3 linked regions of the Drosophila melanogaster genome follow. The main gene of each other region encodes a partner of the protein of the gene in region 2 in a complex. Each region holds a gene or a part of one and is shown on either strand. Other genes may lie near its edges.

Region 1 (5,754 bases), on a different chromosome or scaffold from region 2:
AGATAAGAAGAATGAATTTAAAAAATAAGCTGACTTTTTAAATAAAACATTACAAATGTTTAAATTCAGTTTGAAGTTGGGGTCATGACTTGGCTAAGCGTACCTAACTTAACGAAACTCGCACTAAATTTGGTTTGTGCCCTGGAAAGATCTAAATTTCGTTAAATATTTAACGAATCTGAAAAAAGCGTTTAGTCGAGTTACATACCCATTCGCTTTTACTTTTTCTTGTTTTTTTTCGGTATATATTATTCTATTCGGTATATATAAATATTCTGATCAGAACATTCGAATTAATGACCCAAAACTAGGATGCCATATCTCATTTAACTTGTTACTTGCATTTGAATTGCATTCAAAATTGGGAATTATATATGTAATTCCTTAATCCAAAACAATAAAAATCATAGTTTTGTCAAAAGTCTTCAACTAACACTTAATTGCTTTATTAACTAGAGGGGAAATATTCTATTTCTTGCGTTCGTAGCGGAATTTGTAGACGGGCGCACTGTCCTTGGTTCCCGGCTTTATTTTCCTCGGCTTCAGTAGGCGTGGCTGCTTGAGGGTGTTCTTCAGCTGAATCTTCTGCTGGACGATGCCGAGTTCCCTTTCACGCTGCTCGCGTTTCTTCAGCTCGTTGATGCGCTGCTGTTTGATGGGGTTTGGTTCAGTTGTTTTCTACAAAAAATTTAAAGGCAATCGTTACACACAAGTAGAATCATAAATCATAAGTATAATATCAATTATAAATTAGTTTCTCACAAAAGCTTACAACCTCGTTGGTTTTAAAGAGGTGACCTACCGATTTCTTCTTCTTTTCCTCCTCTTCCTCCTCGTCATCATGCTTTAAAAGCCATTCGCCCATGTCCAACTCCATGTATCCGTCTTCGTCAAATTTGATACGTTTGTTGGCTGCTCCCTTAATGGCATCCACGTCCACCAGCGAGGCCTTCAAGCGTTCGATCTTCTTGCGCTCCATGGTGCGCTTCATCACCACGTACTTGAGGTCCTGCGTCTGCATGAGGGCCAATTGCTCGGGCGTGTGCTCGTCCTTCGTGTCCTTCTCGTGGTGCTCATCGTTGGACAGCTTGGAGTTGATCATATGGTGGTAGAACTCATCGGGATTCTTGTTCTGCGCCCGGCGGTACAATAGCTTCAAGGTCTTTTGCTTTTTCTGTGCGTCGATGGCTCGCTTCTTGTAGTCCTTTTTCTTCTCCAGGAATCCCAGATGCTGGCGCGACTCCGGCTGGTGGCGCTCCCTGTGCACCTTCTGGTTGCTTTTCGACGCATTCTTCCACGATGACATCTTCAATTTATGCTAATCCTCGACAGCAATCAAATATGTTCTGTTTTGATAAACGTGCGCTTGGGGAATTAGAGATGCACAACTACTCGATAAATGTATCGCATTGACTCAAAACATCGAATGTGGTGTTAATCGGGAATTTTTAAAAAAATCTCATTGGTAGAAATTCAAGCTGCCTTCTTGAAGACATCAATACAAATCCCACCCGAATTCTACGATTTAAGACTTCGTGTAAACAACATTCATGTGCATTTCACAATGGTAATATGATTGACGATTTCCGTGACATTGTAAAGTAGATAGTTGAGTCGCGACTATCGACAAAGCGCCCATCTCTAAACCGCACACGTGCATTTTGAACGGGCAACAATTTCATTTGCATTATTTACTTCGGAAAACCGGAGTTTTTAAGTGAAAAGTGAACGCAGGAAAGCCGAAGCATGGTGAAGAAGAAAATAGACAACCGGATACGCGTGATGATCGAGAATGGGGTCAAGCTGGGCCACCGAACCATGTTCATCGTCATCGGGGACAAGGCGCGCGACCAGGTTCCCATTCTTTACGACATCCTGACCAAGTCGACGGTCAAGGCGCGACCCACGGTCCTGTGGTGCTACAAGAACAAGGATGAGGCCATCTCCAAGTGAGTATCCAACTGTAGAACTATTACACAGAAACTCAGCTAACTAGATACATTTTTAGTCATGGCAAAAAGCGAGCAAAGAAGATTGCTGTGGGCAAAGTGGATGTCAATGAGGCGGACCTGTTCGATTCCTTTCGAGTGGCCACCACCATTCACGGCAGATACTACTCCGAGACGCACGCAGTCCTCGGACGAACCTACGGCGTGTGTGTGCTCCAGGACTTCGAGGCCCTGACCCCCAATCTTTTGGCTCGAACTGTGGAAACGGTTGAGGGCGGCGGTCTGATCATCCTGCTGCTGAAGACACTGCAGTCGCTGAAACAGTTGTACACCATGAGCATGGATGTGCACAAGCGATTCCGCACAGAAGCCCATCAGACGGTGACCTGTCGATTCAATGAGCGACTCATTCTCTCCCTGGCGGACTGCAAGCGCTGTCTGGTGGTCAACGATGACCTCACCGTGCTGCCACTTAGCTCCAAGACCATCAACGTGGAGCCAGTGAATGTAAGCTGATGCTTGTAAATCTTCTAAAGCAGCTAATACCATTTGTTTCTAAACTTTCAGCCCGCAGGCGCCGGTCGATCGCCCAACGAGGCTAGCCTCAAGGAGCTGAAGGAGAGCCTGCTCACAGTTCAACCAGCAGGAGCTCTGGTTAATCTCTGCAAGACCTACGATCAGGCCAATGCCGTTGCCCAGTTCATTGAGGCGCTGGTCGACAAGCAACTGAAGCCGCCCATGTCCTTAACAGCGGCTCGTGGTCGTGGTAAATCGGCCGCCCTGGGTCTGTCGATTGCCGCCGCCGTCGCCTTTGGCTATGTGAACATCTACGTTACCTCACCGCATCCGGAGAACTTAATCACGCTCTTTGAATTTGTGCTCAAGGGCTTCGATGCCTTGGAGTACCAGGAGCATGCTGACTACACCATTATACGCTCCACCAATGCCGACTACAAAAAGGCGATAATAAGAATAAATATTACGAGAAGCAGCAGGCAGACCATTCAGTACATAGCTCCCAGCGATACTCATCTGCTGAACGCAGCCGATCTTCTGCTGATCGATGAGGCGGCTGCCATTCCTTTGCCGCTGGTAAAGAAGATGATCGGTCCGTATTTGGTATTCATGGCCAGTACGATAAATGGATACGAGGGCACTGGCAGATCGCTGAGCTTGAAGCTCATTTCCCAGCTGCAAAAGGATAACAATGCAAGGCCGCCACTGAAACTGGAGGAATCGATTCGGTATCAGGAGAACGACGACATAGAAAAGTGGCTGATCAACCTGCTGTGCTTGGATGCCAGTACGGTGCCGAGTATTAGCTCGGGCTGTCCCACGCCGGATGCTTGTGAACTGTACTATGTGGACAGGGACGCCCTGTTTTCGTATCACAAGGCTGCCGAGGCCTTTCTCCATCGCCTGGTCTCCATTTATGTGTCCTCGCACTACAAGAACACACCAAACGATTTGCAGATGATGAGCGATGCCCCGGCGCATCATCTATTCTGTCTACTGGGTCCGGTTCAGCGAATGGACGCCCTGCCAGAGATATTGGTGGTTATCCAAGTGGCACTGGAGGGTCAGATCTCCGCCCAGAGCATCAGCGATTCCCTGGGCAGGGGCAAGAAGGCGGCGGGCGATCTGATTCCCTGGAACGTAGCCGAGCAGTATGGCGATCGAGATTTTCCCAAGCTGTGTGGCGTTCGCATTGTGAGGGTAGCCACGCATCCGAATTACCAGAGGATGGGCTATGGCAAGCGGGCCATTCAGCTGCTCAAGGACTACTATGCAAGGAAGCACACTAATCTGGAGGACGGTCCAGTTGCCAGCAAGGATGCTGGTAAAGGTGAGTGCACGCACGCCAATGGTTTATTATGCACTACATAATACTTTAAATTTTGCATAGGTATCGAGGAAGTGGAGGAGGAGGAACTTAGTCTGCTGAAGGAACAAATCCGGCCACGTAGTCGTATACCCACACTTCTGCAGCGCTTGCACGAACGTGTCCCGGAACACGTGGACTATATTGGCACATCCTATGGCCTCACCACCGAGCTGCTGAAGTTCTGGAAGAACGCCGGCTTTGTGCCCGTCTATTTGAGCCAGAAATCTAACGAACTGACCGCCGAGCATAGCTGCATTATGCTGCACACGCCCAATGCCACGCCCTGGCTGGGCCTGTACTACCAGGACTTCCGCAGGAGAGTCCTCAAGTTGATGGGAAAGACGTTCAGGGAATTCGAGACGAAACTCTGTTTGGCCTTGCTGAAGAACAAGTCCGTGGACACGGAAGGTAGTGCACTGAAAGTACTCGATAAGCCAATGCTGGATGTTTACTTCTTGCCGCACGATCTGCAGCGCTTGGAGAGCTACGCCCGCCAGCAGTCCGAGTTTCGTCTAATCATCGATCTGCTCACGGACATTGCCCAGCTGTATTTTCAGGGCAGGATCGATGGTCTGCAGCTTGACCTGGTGCAGCAGGGCATCCTTTTGGCTCTGGGCGTGCAGGGCAAGACTGTGGATGCGTTGGGTCTGGAGCTGAATATGCCGGGTAACCAGTTGTTGGCGAAATTTTTCGATGCCATGAAACGGTGCAATCAGTGCTTCCGGTCGGTACTGGAGGAGCATATCGAAGGCGGCATGCTGCGGGAGGCGGATCTGTCCAAGGGCGAGGAACTGCAACCGCTGACTCTGTCCCTCGACAAGGAGCTGGATCAAACCGCTCAGAAGCTGAGCAAGCAGCAGCGCAAGGAGCTGAAGCGCCTGAAGGCCGAGCAGCTGGACGAATTCCAAATCAAGGGCACCGAAGAGGATTGGTCCAAGGCGCTGGAAACAAACGGAACAGGCGGTGGCAGCGGGCTGCTCTCCGTCAAGAGGTAGGTGCGCCTATTTTTTTTAATAATGTGCTTAATACATAACCACGTTTATTTATTTGTCTCCAGTTTCGTTTTATTATAAACATCACTCAGTTAAAAAAAATATAACTTATTTCGTATTTGCCTCTCTTTCGTTTCAGTGGCGTAAAGCGACTGGATGGACCAATCGAGACGCGTGAGGATGGCGACCTGGCAGCTCCGCTGTCCAAGAAGAAAAAGAAGAACAATCCGAAACAGAGACGCAGTCAGGGCAAGTCCCTGATCTAGAGTTCATAATTTTTTTCGTTTGGGGGGAAAAAGAATGTGGATTTTAATTCTATAGAAAAGTACATATTGTTGTAAGCTCCGTTAAAAATAAAGAGACCTAATAACTGAACTATATCTTGATATTGGCAGTAGCCTTGGCTGCAGCGGCGGCCGCCCTGCGCCGTTCCTTGAGGTCATTATAGCTAACGCCCGGCTCCTTGTGGGAGTTGCGCTCGAAGCGCTTGACCTTGGACTTCTTGCGGCTGACGAGCTTTGTCGTGGGCAACATATTGTTGCGTTGCAGCGTGTGGAAGCGGTCCTTCAGCAGACTGCTCTCAGTCTTCACGTTGCGCAGATTTCCGGCGATATCCTCGGGCAGATTTACGTCTAGGTCTGGCTCCTCGAACTTGTGACGCCCCAGGCGTTTCGGCTCAAACTTGGCCTTCTCGGCGCGCTGCTTGCGGCGCTTCTTTAGATCATTCAGGTCCTCCTCCTCATCGTCTAGCTCGTGGCGAATCGATTTGATGCTGAATGAAGAAACACAATAGAGATTAGAGATGGACCACAACGCCATCAGTTAGAAACTTACCGTATCAGGTCAGCCGTCTGTTGCTTGAGCTTCCTCTTGAGCTCTGTTTGACGCGCCAGCTCCTTTTGCTTGAGCTCGTTGCGGCGAGCCTGCT
Region 2 (4,992 bases):
TGAGACAAAGCCAGCTTTTTGCTCGAATTGTTGCCACTGCTATTTGCATTGCTGACAACGCTTTTGGCCGCCTTATTCGTTGCCGTTGTCGTTGTTGTTTTCGCCAACGTTGACAACTGCGACTTTTGTTGTGTGTGAGCCATTGTTGTTGTTGCTGTTGCTTCTGCTGTTTGCTTTGTTGTTGCTGCTGCCGGCTGTATTGCTTTCGATTCTGGCGTCATCATAGTAATAATACACTCTCGCCGCTAAAAATTCGCTTTTGTTTTTCGCACAAGCGTCAATCTGCAAAATAGATAATGCCAGAAGTTAAAATTAAATGCGAATAAAGGAGCGCATGGAAAATGTGAAATGGAAAATGTAAATCGACTCGAGAAGAGAGCGTGCTGAAGATTATAAATAAATCAGACGCTGAGCCGCAGAAAGCAATAAGCCGAAGCTATATCGGTATAGCCTCGTTGGTGCGCGAAGAAGCTTAAAGCTCCACTCGCCCCTCGCTGTTTACGATAGAATAATGGAGGCAAGGGAAATATACACTTTCTGGGAAAACTGGTAGAGTTAATGAACTCGGTGGGATCGTATTTTTCCTCACTGCAATCTTCTCTTTTGCATCATTCTTCGTGAATCAGTTTTAATATAGTTGAAATGGTGATAAAGTTTCTACAGTGATCGTCATAAGAGATCTGTTCAGAAAATATTTTAATGATGTTGCCAAGTACGCTGACTCAATATAAATGATCAAAGACAAGAACTTATTAAGTAAAATAAACAAATATGTTGTTGCATGAACATCGAAACTTAAAGATCATTTCAATTTTTAGAGTTTAGTGAATATGCTTTGACTTTAATTTGTTAGAGAACGCTTTAGCTCAAAGAAATCAAAATGCATTTAACTCAGACATGATGTCCCAAATTAAAGCTTGTGGGACTTGAGCAGTAGACAGAAAGGAGTCGCAATCTGGCAGCTATTATTTGCAATCAGTCGATGGATGTGGGGGCCCTCGATAATGGATGTTGTAGTTGCCATGGGAATGCCTACGTCGAATATATTGAAATGCACAGCACTTTTGGGATCAAAAGAGGGGGGAGCAGAGTTGCACAGGGGTGCTTTGTTTTATTATGGATGGAAGGGTGGAGGGGGGAGAGTGAAGAGTGCCGAGTGGAGTTTTAACCAGATGCCAAGTACATCGAAAGTGGGGGGCGGATCTGTGGGGGCGTCGAACAAAATGTGTATTTCAAACAACTTCAAGTTGTTTTTGCATCAACGCGCCAGTAAAAAGTCAAGGTACATACGGTAAACTTTTCGGAAAAACTTTTTCAACTCCGGGGGCACACAGAATATGGAAAATTATATTTGTGTACAGAAAATATGGCAATGGAATATGAATGACTGTATATGGGAGAGGGCGAAAAGAAATTGCCAGCAGGCCTCTTTAAATCCTTTTTACATCACTTTTAAGTGCTGTGCGAAAAGAGGAACCCTTCTGTTGGCCCTTTCCCTTCTTATTTTACCGAACCCATTCCATTGCCGTGTTTAAAGTCTCAGGGATTCTCGCGCGCGCAAAAAAATGTGAGTGAGTACCAACATGAAAAGGATAATAAAAAAAAAAGCAGCGGAATTTCTTATTTGTGTGTGGTGTGCGTGTGTTTATATGCTCGCGTATGTTTGTGTGTGTGTGTGTGGGTAGGGATGCGAAGGGATGTTGAAAGAAGGGAAACGCGAGACTGTGACAGGGAACAGAAAAAACAACAACCCAGCGAAAATTCGGAGAATGCAGAACCGAGACTGCGGCTTTATCTCCTCTTTCACAAGCACGCACACACACACACTCGCATATTGCTTTCATTCAAAGAAACAAGTACATAAACATAAAACAAAAAACGTTGCTAAATGAAAGAGCAGTAAAAAAAAATCAGTCACACACGCTCATATTCTCATGCTCCCCTTTTTCAATTGCCGTGTGTCCAATCGAAATTCTTACTTGCTGGGACAAAAGGAGAAAGAAAGAGAGGGGGTCATCAAGAGAAAACAGAAGAGGGGCTGTGGTTGGTGGGGGGAGAGCGCAACAGCTGCCGGTCGAGAGCAGTGTTGATTAACGCCAATCATGTACCTTTGTATCCAATCTTTAATCCACTAATAATCCAGCCAGTTAATTGGCATCGCGGTGGTCGCCTTGTATACATAAATAATCCAATGGCAAGAGGAATAATCCAAGTAAATAATCCACACTTGAGTTTTGAGTCAGCGTTTCTGCTTCTCTTTCTTCACTATGCTCCACTTCACTTTTATTTTATTTTATTTTCTTTCTACTTCTTCACTTCGCCTGCACATTCAAACCACACCAACACGCGCTGGCACTTTCGGCTGCTCTGCTTTCGCGGGCACCTTTATTGTGTATTATGCTTTGCTCTATGTTTTCTGCCCCACACACACACAAGCGCGCGCGACGTACATAAGCCAGCAGACGTAGTTGTGTTGTGCTTCTGTTGTTGCTGCTACGGCATTTGTCACACAAAGGAAATTGGCTTCAGATTGCTTTTTTATTATTATTATTATTATGCAACTGAAGCTTTGAGCTCTGGTTGTAATATAAACACATGTTTCTTGTTTCGTTATTTATAGTGGTCGCTTCACTCTGTTTGGATAGCGATAAAGCAGGAGTATCGAAACAACCGACCGCACACGTCCGTTCGCTTTGAGAGTTTTTGTTCGACTAACGACCACGCTGCTTTTCGTTTATGTACTGCTGCGTTGCCCGCTATTTACTCTCTCTCGCATACACACACTTATATACCAGGCCAAAGACAGGTAGCCAACTGCTCTGGGCGAGTATCTTTGTTTTCTTTTTCGTCGCTCGCACACTGATCGTCCGTCTCGCTCTCGCCGGCCTCTCACTGGGCAACAAGTCAGCTATCTCTCTTGCACGCGCACTCGGCTCTTTTGTTGTTCTCGTTGCGGGGCGTCGTCGCTCTGGCTCGGTCTCTCTCGTTCGCTCTGTAATCTTTCCGCACAGCGTCGACGAACCGCTCTCGTTGAATGTTGGTGTTGCACTAAAACAGGCGCTCTTCGCTGACTCTGTTTTTCGGTCGCCACATCGTCGGTCGCTGCCGCTGCCTGCGTCGACGCCGACATTGACGTCGGCGTTTGGCTCTTTTCTTTTGCTTTGCCAGCCGTTTCTTTGTTCGTTTCTGTATGTACAAGCGGAAAATTGAAGAGGGAGGGGGATAGAGAACAAAGGGCTGCACATAAATGGCAGAGGTTTTACAACTCTTACGGGCTCTTATCCATCTGCAAACACTTCGGAATACATAAGACCATGTGCAATCAAGGTAGAATGAGTGCCTATGTAATCGCAACTTGCAATTTCCGTCAGCAGAAATCGCATATTTGCACGTAGGCGTACGTCTATATCTGCACCCCTCTCGCTCCCACGCTATTTAATGCCTCCAAATTGGAAATGCTTTTTGCTTCTTTTCCCTTGCCTTTTCCTTTTTTCCCCCACAGAAGTGGCAGCAACAGCAACAACCACAATGTGAGCGCGAAAGAGCTCTCCAATCAGTGGCAGCCAACAACAATAAAAGCAGCAACTTCGTTTCCGTCTTGGCGAATTAACCGTTAGACTGCTCTACGTAACGTAACAATGCAGATCTAACGGATAAATTGCGAACGAAGGAACCGTACCATGACGATACTTTCCATGCAAATTAACACCATTATTATCATTGCCGTGGGAGTTAAGAGTTTATTTTGCATATTTTTATTTATAATGATCCTATCCTCTAAATAGTAGCGTACTCACCCAATACTATTCTGAAGTCTTCGAAGTTCGCAGATCAAAAAGTCTAAAGATTTTTTCTTTCAGTTTTATTGCAGGGAAAACTTCTTTTTAAAATTTTTTAATTTCTTATTCATTTTCCATTCTATTATAATACTTTTATTGATTGGTTTGCCCACAGTAAAATCGGAGATGTCAGGAGGTTTTAAATTAATATATTTCTTATTATATTTCTTATTCTTATATTTCAACCATTTCTTAAACTAGCCTTAATAAATTACAAAATGTTTTTAAAGTTTCATCCCAAACAATAATAAAGATTGATTTTTATTCTCATAGAAGAAATACAGTAGTAATCTTAGAGTATATTAAAACTGTAAAAATATTAAAATTTTATATTTAAAAGTTTGATAAGTACACAATTGTAAAAGTACCCTTCAAGCCAAACAACTAAAATTATCATTGAATACATAACATTTAAATGTTATTATATTTTTCAATCAACAAATATTTTTGTTTTGTCTTAGTTTGTTTCCAACTTTTTTTTAAGTTCATGTTACTATAAAATTGTTTACCGATCGGACCTTATGTCGAAAGCTTGCATTTTATTGAAAATGTGCTTTTTGGTCTATTTTTAGCCTTTTGTATGAATCGTCTAGACAAAATATGCACTCAAGAATTGTCTTTGCGTGAACTTTTACGGAATCATAATAGAATTGCATTCTGTTATCATATCTTTCACAATAGTGATGGTCAAAAAACCCCAATGAATTTTAATTTAAGTGGTGTTTTAGGCAGGGATTTGTTTTTTTTTTGTAATCACTCCAGTAAACACTTTCGCACACAGTTTTCACCGTAGAAGAAAAATTCCAGCATTACAGGGACCTCCAAAGGCTTTTTAATAATTCTTGATTATAATGATTAGTTATGTATTTAATATATTATTATTATTATGATTATTATTTCTGTCACAAAGTAAAGGATTCAATGAACATTTACCTTTCAGTAAAGAACCTAATAAATGATTTGGTAAAGATCTTAATATAACTTAATACATCGCTTGTTTTAGGTATATACATACGTATAACCATAAATTTTGGCACATATGTATATATAAACATTATCAGGGAATAACAAAAAAAAAACTGTTCTTTTCAGGAGCAAAATAATCAATTGTGTGAGTCATCCAAGGCGATAAGTTCGCCAGCTTGTGAATCAG
Region 3 (5,015 bases), on a different chromosome or scaffold from region 2:
GTTTTTTTTTTTTTTTTTTTTGTTTAAGCAAATATGGCTACTTGGTAAATACAAAAATCTGGTTTTAGTCATTCAAAAAAGTGTGAGACAAATGCGGGAACTAGCAAACAAAAACGCTCTTATTAAATAATCATATTTACAATGTAAACATAAAAGATGACTTTCGAGAGTGGCAGAAACAAACGCGGGAAAAGTAAATATGACTCTGAGGTAACGATCACCTTTAACTCGGGATAATATCAAAACTATAGTTCCGACTTAATCACAAGGTCAAGCCTGAAGATATGTACCATGTCATTTCAATTTCTAATTAAGAATTGTGTACCCTGGTTAACTTTTAGGTAGAGATCCCGAGCCCGATCCCGATCCCAATCCCTATCCCGAAAATATTCGTTCTTTTTGTGGACCTTTTTCCGAACCCGCCCTTTTTCAGCGACAATGAACATTTGGCCAACTACTTAACGGACTTTCGCATTCAACGAATGAAGAGAAAGGAGCTGCCTGACAGCCTTCGCATTTCACATCGATCTTTATCTATGGGTTTTCGAATTTCCATGAGCAGCATGGTAGTCGCACTCGTTTTCCACGTTCAACGTTCGACAACAACAGCCCGGAAAACTAATTTAGCCACGCAGCTGGCACCGTTCGATATTATTGTAAAAGGGCAATAAAGCCGATGCGAATTGCAGGCGAAGTTCAAGGACCTTTCCATCGAAATGCTAAAAATGCTGACAGTTGGGAGCAACACGAGATGGTTAGTGTTTTATACAGTAGTGCTCAAGCTAATAGGATTAGTGGACAAACGTAAATGGCTGAGTACTCCACATGGTAAGGATGTTTTTCTAGAAATAATTAACTAATATTACTTCCTGAATCAGTTCCCTGATATAGTTCAACTATGAATGATCTAACTGGAGAAGCGTGGTTTCAAGGTCCTATTGCATTGACCGCGACTGTGATGCCCGGCAGTCCAGAGAGCCTGATCCCCACCCCTTTCCATCGCCCAAAAAGCCCGCAAGGCCCATAAACAGCAAGAGCATAAAAAGCATGAGTGCAAAAAAGACAGAAAAAGGAGCGAAATGGGTTATAAAAGCCGGTAAAAGCATTTTGGCAACCCTCATGTCGCTGCTACCCCGTAAAAGAAAGGGAATATGGGGTGGGTGGTCCAGAGGGGTGGAATACTCGCCACAGGGTGGTGGGTGCGCGTGTGCAAGTGTGTGTAAGTTAAGCTCACGGCCGCACGCTGCGAAAAACCTCTTGAGAGAAAAAAAAAGACTGGTTTCCATGTCGCCATGGAGTAGGGTACATACATTCGAGCTCGAGTGTGTGAGAACCCCCGTAAAACAGCCTGCTTGCAATCGGGGGGAAAGCAGTAGCGGTGGGAAAGGAATGATCAAAATGCGGGGCAGCACACACACACACAGACACGCCGATAGGGGTGCGGGGGAAAGGTCGCGCTCAAATCAAACATCACCTCCAGTGGATTCGGGCGTGCAAAATGCGCGGGAGCGAGCGAGGAGGGGGGGGGCCTTGACAGCCTATTGATTGATACACAAACGAGTTCTGCAATCGAAGAAGATGAAACAAATGTGAGTGAACGAGATGAGGCTATGGCCAGGCCGTACACACAGTCACATAAACTCAGAGCGAGTGCGGTGTAGCGTAGGTGTAAACAGAGTTGTCAACTATTTATTTACAAAAACTGTTGTGCTTTAAACGAGTCTAAAATAATTTAATCATTCTGGTTTATTTTCTTGCCACGAACAATTTAAGTTTGTAGGTAAAAATTAGCATTCAGTGATAACGGACTGTAAGAAATATAAAAGTATTCAATAAAATTGAATCTTCGTTAAACCGGAACACAGATTTCTCAGATTCGTTACAGCTGACAACCCTAGACTGTTTATTTCGGCAGAGTAAAGCAAAATGTAAGCAGGGTTGCCGCAGCAACAACAAAAACTGATACCTTTCGATATAGAACTTTTGTTTTCTTTATGTTGCTTTGTTGCGCGAGTGAGAGAGGGTTGCACGGAGAGACGGAGAAATCAACCACCACCAGCCGACGCACACACACAAATGCAGACACGGGCATGCATTGCGAAATTCGTTGTTAAAAATGCAACAACACCGCACAGCGGGGGGCGTGTGTCGGTTGGATGATGAATGGCGGAGAGGGCGACGGAGGGGAAACTCGTTTTGGGTTTCATGAATTTATTTTCTTTTCTTGGCCCGCCAGTCGAGCGCATTTTATGATGACAGAGAGCACAGAATATCCACTCGCTGCATTTTTACGAGCATTATGATTAACGTGTCATTATTATCCGAATACGATATAGAATCAATATCCAATGCTCAAGAGCAGATTAAACCAAAAATTGTAAACAAAAAGCACAAGTGCAGGCAGTACAAAAGCAGTGATAAAAATAAAACCAAACTAAACAAAAAATACCTTTTTTGCATAAACTTCAATGCACGACGATCCATTATTCAAAATAAAAACAATATTTATAATAAATTATAGGTATGCATGCGTCGGCTTAGGCGTTTTGTTTTTGTTTTCGGCGGCGGCGGAGACACTCGTGGTTGTTTTTGTTATAGTCGGCATGGCGCTTTCTTTTTAGTCCTCAGTTTCTTCTCTTTTTGCTATTTGCCGTATTATATTGTACATTAACAAACACGCACATGTGTGAAGGCAATAAATATAAACATACAACAGGCAACACCAAACATATACATATGTATGTAACGTGGAACGCAAGACAACAAAAGTACACAAAACGAATACGAAAATCCGACAAAAGTCCCAGTGTCTCGTGTGTGTGTGTGTGTGTGTGTGTGCTTGCGTGTAAATGAGTGTTTCGTGCACGGGCAGTAGTAATTAGTACAACCTCCACTCACAGTCACTCCACTTCAACTTCTCCCCGCTGGCTGCAGGCACTTTTCTTTTTCTCAGTGTAACGACTAAGCACCTGTGCACGCGATCTTACATAAAATTAAGCCACAGTCACAGCACTAAGTACTTGTTTTAACTGCACTGCCTACGTCGCCAGCGACGATTCGCCAGCTAGGGGCTCCACTGTGGCGCGGCATCACTTTTTATGTCTGCACATCTGCACTAGCTAATCAACAGCACCGTTAGCTCTTTTTGAAAAAAATTTAACAAATTTGCAGGGTATCCAGTGAGTATGTCGCGTCGGCGGGTTTTTTCTTCGTTCAATACACATGCGATGCGGTATGCGACACATACGACACCACACCAACACGAACGCAGAGAGAGCAGAGCGCAAGAACCGTACACCGCCAAGTTAAGTTTCAAACTGAACCGCGCGCCACAGCGACAACTCTACTTTTCGTTCGGATCGGAAACAAAATGAGCGCATGTGCGCTGAATATGTGTGTGTGTTGGTGTGCAGCTGGATCCGCTTCTCTCTTCTCAGATGCCGTTGCGACTAATAACTTTTCTCTATACCGAAATGCACGGGTGCGAGTGCGACGCCACTAGGAGTGGCCCTGGCCAGTTAGCGCGTGCGAGAGGGATGCCGTGCGTTCGCTTGGGGTTGGAATGAAACGGCAGCAGTTCGTTTGACAAAGCAAAACCAAAACGAGTAAAAAAAACAGGAAGACTACAGCTGGCGGGCATGTGTATGCGTGCTCAACCACCCCGACTGAAAGCCCCCTTCCGTTGCTGAAAACATAACATGGTCTGGTGACTCGACTTTCAAATACCCCTTTTTCATATACCATTCCTCGCTAACTTCAGTCGTATCCTTAAAATGAAAACCCTTCTTAAATATTTATTTGTAAGTTATTGGTGCTGACTACTAACACAAATTCCAGTTAAAACCAAGTGCCCAGTATACCCTTTTACTTTGTGGGTACCGGGTATGTACATACATAAATACGCGCGAAGCCAGTTTTATGTGTGTACACTCGAATGTCTACCGCCCGGCCCGACTCGACAACGATTGTTGCTATACTTCATCTTCTTTTTTCGTGCCATCACAACCACCACCACTACGACTACCTTCCTACCTCTACCTCCTTTCTCATTCCTTCTTTTTCACATCAGATCGGGTCGGATCGGCTTTACCTTATTATTAGTTGTGCTTGTCAGTAACACACGGGTGTGTCGGTTGAGAAGGGGAGGATAGCGTATGCGCAGAGGCAGAGCGAAATCTTATTCTCTCCACCCCATTGAACAGTGGTAAGCGATCCATTATTATTGGATTGCTTTACAGTTGCAGTTTGAGAACCAAGAGTACAGTGGGTCAATTTTTTAGAACAGCAATTTTTCCAAACTTTTTATACATATAAACAATGTTACGATAAGTAAAATGAAAACGTTTAGTAAAATAGAATTATATAATAGACATACGTATTGAGTTGATTTATTAAGTTTTAAGTTTATTAATGTTTCAAATATCCACCACTCATGACCCACTGTGCCTGTCTTTGTCATTTCATTTTTCATTTTGTGCCAGCCCGTGCGTGTGTGCATGCACCATTTGTAGTATGTGTGCGTTGCTTTGGGCTCTTGTTGGTCTTCTTCTTACTCTTCCCACCTCATCCAACAACAACGTCGCTGAGCCCCACAAATGTTTTCATTCCGATTAGCTTTTTGTTGGCTTGTCTCGTCTCGTTTCCTTTTCTTTTTTGCTGCCGCCATATTATTTTTAGGCTTTTTAAGTGCTTTTGCTCTCTCTCTCTCGCTCTCTGCCTTGCTTTGGTTGTTCTCATTCGATGTGTGTGTATGCTTGTTTTTTCGGAGCTTTTTTTCTATTAGTTGTGACCTCCTCCTTCGCCGTTATTTCCCTCTTTCGCCTTTTCCTCACAAGTTCAACACAACAAGAAGTCGAGCATGCGCTTTTCTTCTTGCCATTTATAATTGCCTTCAACTTATTGCTCCTTGTGTTTGGGGCGAATGGTACTCCTAGGGCATGAGCGAGAGAGTCGATATTTGCATTTCGTAAAAATGACAAATGCCTAATGAGCGTAAATTGCTGCGCGTGCTTTTG

Evidence for each region.
Region 1: Psc (region 2) and l(1)G0020 share a complex: the UniProt entries of both Drosophila melanogaster proteins name them as parts of the PRC1 complex.
Region 3: Psc (region 2) and ph-p share a complex: the UniProt entries of both Drosophila melanogaster proteins name them as parts of the PRC1 complex.

Annotation. Positions count from the first base shown.
Region 1 is NC_004354.4:8,716,158-8,721,911, reverse strand, and holds l(1)G0020 (lethal (1) G0020), read left to right. Parts: upstream 1-1,634; 5' UTR 1,635-1,746; coding exon 1,747-1,949; intron 1,950-2,008; coding exon 2,009-2,456; intron 2,457-2,516; coding exon 2,517-3,795; intron 3,796-3,855; coding exon 3,856-4,825; coding exon of another isoform or gene 4,826-4,829; intron 4,830-4,846; exon of another isoform or gene 4,847-4,965; coding exon 4,966-5,092; 3' UTR 5,093-5,199; downstream 5,200-5,754. Other genes in the region: CG1789 (uncharacterized protein), read right to left, coding at 469-678, 803-1,306; CG1785 (uncharacterized protein), read right to left, coding at 5,202-5,598, 5,661-5,754. UniProt on the Drosophila melanogaster protein: RNA cytidine acetyltransferase with specificity toward both 18S rRNA and tRNAs. Catalyzes the formation of N(4)-acetylcytidine (ac4C) in 18S rRNA. Required for early nucleolar cleavages of precursor rRNA at sites A0, A1 and A2 during 18S rRNA synthesis.
Region 2 is NT_033778.4:12,977,940-12,982,931, forward strand, and holds the start of Psc (posterior sex combs), read right to left. Parts: upstream 3,056-4,992; 5' UTR 2,109-3,055; intron 283-2,108; 5' UTR 225-282; coding exon 1-224. UniProt on the Drosophila melanogaster protein: Polycomb group (PcG) protein. PcG proteins act by forming multiprotein complexes, which are required to maintain the transcriptionally repressive state of homeotic genes throughout development.
Region 3 is NC_004354.4:2,133,568-2,138,582, forward strand, and holds the start of ph-p (polyhomeotic proximal), read right to left. Parts: upstream 3,056-5,015; 5' UTR 2,485-3,055; coding exon 2,450-2,484; intron 1-2,449. UniProt on the Drosophila melanogaster protein: Polycomb group (PcG) protein. PcG proteins act by forming multiprotein complexes, which are required to maintain the transcriptionally repressive state of homeotic genes throughout development.